Linked DNA regions of Rattus norvegicus. The main gene of each other region encodes a partner of the protein of the gene in region 2 in a complex. Links are inferred from orthologs where the notes say so. Each region holds a gene or a part of one and is shown on either strand. Other genes may lie near its edges.

Region 1 (4,196 bases), on a different chromosome or scaffold from region 2:
GTTCCAGGACAGCTAGGGCTACAAAAGAAAAACAGTGTCTCCAAAGCAAAAACAAAAACAAAAAAAACCAAAACAAACAAAAAAGAAAGAATCAAGTCAGTGCTTACAAAGTTGAAGGTGACCAGACCAGGCCAGACTAGGCTGTAAGAGGCTTCAAAGTTTAGCTCCAGGTTTAGGCCTTCCACATTTCATATATATAATCTTCCTGCCCCAGTGAACTGGGTATAGGCCTTGTTAGTGATACACATACACCCCTACCTACCTCAGAGAATTTAGAGATATTTAGGGAATTGAGTACTTTAAACCAGCTACCTGTGCCAATACCAAATCCAAGAATAAAAGCTATTTGGGCACCTAAAAGTTGAGGGAAACATGGGTTGGAGGAATGGCTCAGAGGTTAAGAGGTTCCTGGCAGGGTTGGGGATTTAGCTCAGAGGTAGAGCATTTGCCTAGCAAGCGTAAGGCCCTGGGTTCGGTCCCCAGCTCTGAAAAAAAGGGGGGGGGGAAGGGTTCCTGGCACCCATGTCAGGTAGCTCACAACCCCTGTAACTCCAGCTTCAGGGGGATCTGAGACTCCTGGGCACCTCTGGCACCTGCATTCACCTGTAAACACCTACACACAGAGACAGTTAAAAACAATTTAAAGGGCTGGAGAGATGGCTCAGCCCTTAAGAGCACTGACTGCTTTTCCAGAGGTGCTGAGGTCAATTCCCAGCAACCACATGGTGGCTCATAACCATCTGTAATGGGATCTGGAGCCCTCTTCTGGTTTGTCTGAAGACAGCAACAGTGTACTGACATACATAAAATAAATAAATATTAAAAAAAAAATTTAAAAATTTTCAAGTTAGGGAAAACATCTCAAGAGTAAAAAGTAAAACATCACAAGTTCATGGCCCACACCTTATTTATGATATCACCAGAGAGCCCACTTAGAATTTCAGTGTTACTCCCATCAAGGGATGGTTCACTGGATGGCTTCAACAGGGAAAGCACACTAACAATAAATCCAACCCCTCTCAGTTCAATGCTGGGCATACGGGACTGTACACACACAGAAGCTTAACTTAAACCTGTACCTAATCGCCCATAAGCAAACACCTGCACATAAACAATGATGTTCAGAAATCAAATGGTGTGGGAGCCCAGTTCTCAAGCAGCTGCCATAGGCACAAGGAAGAGAGGTCAGAAGACCAGGCGAGGACAGGCCCAGCCTGCCCTTCCCTGCAGCGCTTCTTCAACCCTAGCAAGGGTGAGGCTTCCTGACGCTTTACTTCCAGGGCCCCCTCAATGCCCTTAATCTACTCCCCATCCCTTAACCCCTGGTGGGAACTCCCGGTATAAAAACCCTGTGTGTGCGTATCTACAAATGCTCCATCCCCTTCTTTTGGTCTCCTTCCTTTCTCTCAAAACAAACAACAAACAAACAAAACTGTTTAGACTCTCCTGAAGACAGCTGTCATATTTTGCCTTGTGTTATGTTTGCTCATTTCTTGACTTCACCTGGAAACTTACATGATCTACAGAAATAAGAAATTCATTAAAAAAAAAAAAAAGACACCAGAATAAATACAAAAAACCCTGTAGTCTGTCTTATCTGTCTGTCTCTCACTCACACACACTTCAACCATAAAGAACTAAAGTATGCTGTTTGTAAAAGAAAAGTTTAATAACACACATGCTTTCTCTCATGTGGGCGCTCTCTCTCTCTCTCTCTCTCTCTCTCTCTCCCTCCCTCCCTCCCTCCCTCCCTCCCCCTCCCCTTTTTAAATAAAAGGAGAGTTCAGGGCCTACAAGATGGTTTAGCGGGATAAAGGTACTTACTTGTTGTCAAGCCTTATCGAGGTCAATCCCTGGGACACACATGGTGGGAGAAGAGAATCCCTCCCACAAACTGTACTCTGACCTTCACACATGAACTATGGTACTCTCGAGCCCAGAGATATACACATATATGTAAATAAATATGTTCTAAAGAAGATAGGGGGAGAAGAAAAGAAAGTATAGCAGGGTACTATCTGGAAGGACGGAAGGACGGGAGAAATCACTCTGTGTGTAGATTTAAAAAATGTCATTACGTAGTCTGTTATTTTGTAAAATTAACAGACATTTTCAAAAGACGCCAACCAGTAACGAACACTGACTTAAAAGCAAAAGCGCAGGGGCTGGGGATTTAGCTCAGCGGTAGAGTGCTTGCCTAGGAAGCGCAAGGCCCTGGGTTCGGTCCCCAGCTCCGAAAAAAAGAACCAAAAAAAAAAAGCAAAAGCGCACCATCTACATTACTTCAGTAATCTCTGTATCACCCGCTAACCTAGGGTCACCTTACGGATGAGGAGGCTGCAGCCCTCGGCTGTTTTAATAGTGCTTAGTCTTGATTTCTGTTGCTTTTGGGTAGACGAACAGAGTTGGAATCCCCGCTGCCGAGCAAGGCACGCACCGAGGCGGGCCTAGGCAGCCGCAGCCCGGCGTGCACCTCCTCAGTGTTCTCAGCTCCCACCCGGGGCGGAGGGACGGCGGCACCGGCTCCGAGGGAGGGTCGCTTACCTATTATGGGCACCTCTGCGATGAAGACCCTCCGAATGGAATTGGCCACCCTACAGGAGGAAAGGCAGGCAGCGTGAGAGGCCCCGAAGACACAGCCCCGGGGTCAGGAGCCCGAGGCCCCGGCCGCCCGCCTCTCCCCTCGCCTCCTTACGCCAGGTCCGTGTTCTCGATAATGAACTTGACGTTCTCTTCAGTGAGTTCCGTGATCCGCACGGTTGGCTGGTTGGCGTACGGCATCACGACCGGCTGCCTGTCTCCCGCGCCAGCCCCACAGCGCGCCTGCGCGACCACCAGTTTGTCGGCGGGGCACCCGGGCGCTTCCGGCTAGACGTGGGCGCAGTGCCACCTGCTGACCGGAGGCCGGAACTCCTGGCCTGTGTTTTCTAACCACACTGGCTACATGCACTGGTCCTATGCTCTTGAAATCCCCAAGATACACAGCACAAAATTTCACGGACAGGGTCATTCACGCCAATGTTATTTGTAATTGCTAAAAATAATAATAAAAATTCCTAGGAAGCGCAAGGCCCTGGGTTCGGTCCCCAGCTCCGAAAAAAAGAACCAAAAAAAAAAATTGATAGAGGCTTGGTTAAACGTACATACGGGGATGTGGAGATAAGAGCACTGGCTGCTGTTCCCTAAGAGTTGGATTGTATTCCCAGCATCCATATGACGTCTAACATCTTTAGCTCCAGTTTCTAAGGAATCTCTTTCCTGGCATCTGAGGGCACCAGGTAGTCAAATGGTGCACAAGCATACATGCAAGCAAAACACCCATATACATAAGAATAATTTTTAAATGTGTAGGAATACAATAAAGCCTTTTAAAAGATGGAAGCTGTACATCTAAACATAAATAAAATGGCTAGGGAGGTGGCTCATTGTGTAAAACGACTGACAGGTTATTTCTCTGCCAGAGAAATGAGTCAATTCAAGTCAAACTAGAACATATTAAAAGGTAGGTTTATTGGGAAGCTGTTCTCAGGCAAGTTCACTGGCCCCCAAGAATGGAGGCCAGGGGAGTCACCAAGGGAAGGACAGGGAGGGAAAAGAGGGGAGAGGGAGAGAGACGGGGAGGGAGGGAGGGAGAGAAAAGGAGAGAGAGCACAAAGCACAAGGTATCTGGATTAAACAGGAAAGAGAAGAGCCTCTGAGGAAGGGCAACCCAGCCTCTAAGCTGGAAAGTTCAGGGTGGGGGCAGAATATGACAAGTAGGGACTGAAAGATGCTGGGAGTACCTAGGGGCCAGCTCTGCATTGATATGTAAAGTACGCACCACAGTCCCTGGTCCCACTGTCAAAGCCAAAACACCAATGTGCAAGGATACAGGTTCAAATTCTCAGAAAACTCGATGTGCAAGGATACAGGTTCAAATTCTCAGAAAACTCGATGTGCAAGGATACAGGTTCAAATTCTCAGAAAACCCGTAAAACAGCCAGCATGGTAATGCCAAAGTCTGTAATCTTAGTGCTCCTTTGAGTTGGAAGGTGAAGAGAAGAATCCCCTGTATGCTCTTAGGACAGTTAGATAGTGCGCAAAGAAGCAAACAACAAAAGACCCACACCCGAGCTGATGTCAGAGAGAGTGCTGTAACGCATACACATGAAAATCAAAATACATGTGTGTGTGAGAGACGGTACAACACATCATGT
Region 2 (4,101 bases):
ACAATCCCCACTCCTCCTTTTTTGCTGGACTTTACTTACATTTCAAATGTTATTCCCTTTCCCGGTTTCCTATCCATAAACCCCCATCCCCTCCCCGCCTCCCTCATACGGGTATTCTCCCCATCCATCCCCCTTACTGCCACCTCCCCCATATTCCCCTGAACTGGGGGTCCAACTCTGGCAAGGGCTTCCCCTTCCACTGGTGCCCCAACAAGGCTATTCTCTGCTACATATGCAGTTGGAGCCCTGGGTCAGTCCATGTATAGTCTTTGGGTAGTGGTTTAGTCCCTGAAAGATGTAGTTGGTTGGCATTGTTGTTCTTTATTTTTATTTATTTATTTTTTTAAGGTTTATTTATTGTGTATATAGTGTTCTGCCTGAATATACTCCAGAAGAGGGCGCCAAGATCACATTACAGATGGTTGTGAGCCACCATGTGGTTGCTGGGAATTGAACTCAGGACCTCTGGAAGAGCAGACAGTGCTCTTAACCACTGAGCCATCTCTCCAGCCCGGCATTGTTGTTCTTATGGGGTTGCAATCTCCTTCTTCTAATTCCCCCCAAGGGGGTCCTGTTCTCAGTTCAGTGGTCTGCTGCTAGCACTGACTTCTGTACTGGACATGGTCTGGATGTTTCTAAATTTTTCATTTTTTTTTTCGGAGCTGGGGACCGAACCCAGGACCTTGCACTTGCTAGGCAAGCGCTCTACCACTGAGCTAAATCCCCAAGCCCTAAATTTTTCATTCTTTTTTTTTTTTTTTTTTGGTTCTTTTTTTCGGAGCTGGGGACCGAACCCAGGACCTTGTGCTTCCTAGGTAAGCGCTCTACCACTGAGCTAAATCCCCAGCCCCTAAATTTTTCATTCTTAATCCCCACCTATACCCCAAGGGCCTGGCTAGCCTAGTACTTACTATGAACCTCTGGCTGGCTGCAAACGTTTGGCAGTCTTGTTGCCTCCACTTTCTGAGTACTGGGATTACAGGCTGAACCTTATTTCTGTGTCCCTCCTACTGACACAGCTAACGAGTTTACTGAGCAGCAGACAGGAGGAACCTTTACCTCTCTGGACTGCAACATCCTTGCTTCTATAGGCCTTACTTGGAGCAAGGTTGTGAGGACGAATACATTTGTGGGCCAGCAATATGGCTTAGCTGGTAAAGGCGCCTGTGGTCAAGCCTGATCACCCGAGTTCAATCCCCAAGACCAACTCCTCTACCCTCCACATGCACACCATAGCATGTATACACACATTCCAAGTAAGTATAATTAAAAACTTTTTTAAAAAATAAGTTTCTGGGGTTGGGGATTTAGCTCAGTGGTAGAGCACTTGCCTAGCAAGCACAAGGCCCTGGGTTTGGTCCCCAGCTCTGAAAAAAAGAATAAAAAAAAAAAAATAAGTTTGTGTTCAGGGCTGTTGAAATAGCTCAGCAGGTAAAGGTGCTCCCACCAAGCCTAACAGCCTGAGTTTGATCCCTAGAACCCACATTAAAGTGGAGGATATCTGGGTGGTGTTGGTGCATGCCTTTGATCCCAGCACTTGGGAGGCAGAGTCAGGTGGATCTCTGAGTTTGAGGTCAACCTGGGCTATGCATTGAGTTCCAGGAGAGCCAGGGAAACCCTGTCTCAAAACCCAAAACGAAACAAAAGTGGAAGGAAAAACCAACTCCACAAAGTTGCCCTCTGATCTCCACATATGGAATCCTTCCCTCCACTACTGTGACTGCCAGGAACACCTCTACACAGACCAATCAGCCTCTGCCCGTCAGCGTGATTAAAACCTGTCACTCAAGCTACCTAAGAACCTAAGGCAGGAGGATTGCTAAGATGAAGTGCTGTGCCATCTTGATGGCCCTTATCTTTTTAAAGGTCGGGCTACACAGCCCTGGCTAGCCTGGAACTCACCCAGACTGGCTGCAAACCTCCACTTTTCCTCCCACCTCAGCCTCCTCAGGGCTAGGGTTCCAGGTATGCATCATCTTATGCCGTGTTAATTTGGTGTTGGGATTTGGGCACACTAAGCAAGTATTCTACCAACTGAGCTATAACCGACTCTCCCCTATTAGCTAAATGTTTTTGGAAACAGTCTCCCTATATATAGTCCTAGCTAGCCTGGAACTCACTATGAAACTCAGGCTGTCTTTCAAACTCGAGAAATCTTTCCTGAGCCTCCCGGCTCCGGGAATTACAAACATATTGTAATTACTGTCCCATTCAATTTATGCGGTGCCAAAATGGAACCCAGAGTTTCATCCATGGTAGCTAGGCAAGACCCTACCAACTGGGCTCCTAGTCCTGCTAATTACATTTGTTGTTTAGTACACAGTCTCGCTGTACAGACCCGGCTGGCCTCCAAACTCGCAGCGATGCTCCTGCCTGGGTTTTCAGGGTGCGGGATAGCAAGGATGTTAGCCTGCGGGAGCCACCAGAGTGCCAGGAGAACGGCCTCACCACACACCTTGGCGTCGAGCGTGCGCTTGAGCTCCAGCATGTAGGAGAACTGCTCCGGGTAGATGTAGTCGTACGGGAAGTAGACCAGCAGCCCATCCACGTTGAGCCTGGCGGCGACGAGGCGTCGGTGCCTGGTGCTCTCGAGCCGCCCCGGCCTCCGCGCCGCCCGCCCGCCTCCGTGGCGTCTCCCCGCCACGGACCCCGAAGCCACCCGGACCGGTCTCCGTAGCCTCTCCACGCCGCGACCTGGCCCCGGCTACACCCACCGGCCGCCCCATCGCCCACCGCAGTGCCGACCACTCTTCCCGAGACCCCATCTCACTTCATGGCGGCTTGTCCCGGCGTCCACTCGCCCGCCTCCTGAATATTCAACGAGGGGGCGTGACCTAGAGCACCACCTTCCTCGCGATGCCATTGGCTGAGTCTTCCCGTCATTCCTCCAATCGGAAAACTGGCGCGTGCGCATAGCGGTGAGAGGGCGGACTCCGGAGAGAAGCGGTGCCCAAGGCATCGCTGAGGATCGCCGAAGACTTCGAACAGAACACAGAAAGTAGAATGTCGAGAGAATCGTTACAGTTCATTGACGTTTGCTCCTCCTGGTTCTGTCCTGGTTGTCCAAGTCGGGAATAGAGTTTAGGAGAAAATAACAGAGGAATTGGAAGCTGTTCGGAGCCTTTAAGTTACAAAGGCGAGATTGTACCAGACAAGCACGATTTATAAAATACTGGTATCCAAACTTAAGACAGGAAACCTAAAAACAGCTCCTCCTATTTATTGAACTCTTACTCTAGCAAGATTCTACCACGTGTTTTTTAAGCATTCATTAATATGGGCTGGAGAGATGACTCAGATATTAAAGCTTAGGCTCACAAACAAACAAACAAAAATGCATTAATTAAGGGCCTGGAGGAACCGCTCCGTAGTTAAAAGCACTTTCTGATCTTGAAGAGGATTAGGGTTTCCAGCCCCCACCCCCCCACCTCCAAATCAGGCAGCTTACGATCGATCACCTTTAGGACTAGCTCCATGGAATCCAATACCTCTGGCCTATGGAAGGAAGAGGAAATCTGCAGAATTTGGTTCAGCTCTTTCCTTCCACCATGTGTGGGAATTGAACTCAGGTCAAAAGACAATGGCGGTTTACCTCATGAATCTTCTCATGAACCCTTCCTGCTCTCTTTTTTTTTTTTTTAAGATTTATTTATTTATTTTATGTGAGTACACTGTCACTGCCTTCAGACACACCAGAAGAGGGCATCGGATCCCATTACAGATGGTTATAAGCCACCATGTGGTTGCTGGGATTTGAACTCAGGACCTCTGGAAGAGCAGTCATTGCTCTTAACCACTGAGCCATCTCTCCAGCCCCCTCCTGCTCTCTTTTGAGACTGTCTCACTATGTAACCCAAACTGGTCCGGAGGAGCTCACTCTGTAGCCTGGGCTTCCCCCCAACCCCCCACCCCTACTCGTGACTCACCCACCTCAGACTCCTGAGGGTCAGGATAGCAAGGCTAGACAATGCTGTCCGTTATTTCCTATCTCTGGATCCCTGCTCAAATGTCACCTTCACCTTTTTCTTTCTTCCTTTGCTCCTTCCTTCCTTCCTTCCTTCCTTCCTTTTCTTTTTCTTTTTGAGACAGAGTCTCTCTATT

What was found. The genes of interacting proteins can lie anywhere in the genome.
Region 1: Ercc2 (region 2) and Polr2c share a complex: the UniProt entries of both Homo sapiens proteins name them as parts of the TBP-based Pol II pre-initiation complex. The link is inferred for Rattus norvegicus from reciprocal best matches to the Homo sapiens genes ERCC2 and POLR2C.

The regions. Positions count from the first base shown.
Region 1 is NC_086037.1:10,168,126-10,172,321, forward strand, and holds the start of Polr2c (DNA-directed RNA polymerase II subunit RPB3), read right to left. Parts: upstream 2,806-4,196; 5' UTR 2,782-2,805; coding exon 2,696-2,781; intron 2,595-2,695; coding exon 2,545-2,594; intron 1-2,544. UniProt on the Homo sapiens protein: Core component of RNA polymerase II (Pol II), a DNA-dependent RNA polymerase which synthesizes mRNA precursors and many functional non-coding RNAs using the four ribonucleoside triphosphates as substrates.
Region 2 is NC_086019.1:88,160,046-88,164,146, reverse strand, and holds the start of Ercc2 (general transcription and DNA repair factor IIH helicase subunit XPD), read right to left. Parts: upstream 2,806-4,101; 5' UTR 2,776-2,805; coding exon 2,771-2,775; intron 2,556-2,770; coding exon 2,456-2,555; intron 1-2,455. UniProt on the Homo sapiens protein: ATP-dependent 5'-3' DNA helicase. Component of the general transcription and DNA repair factor IIH (TFIIH) core complex, not absolutely essential for minimal transcription in vitro.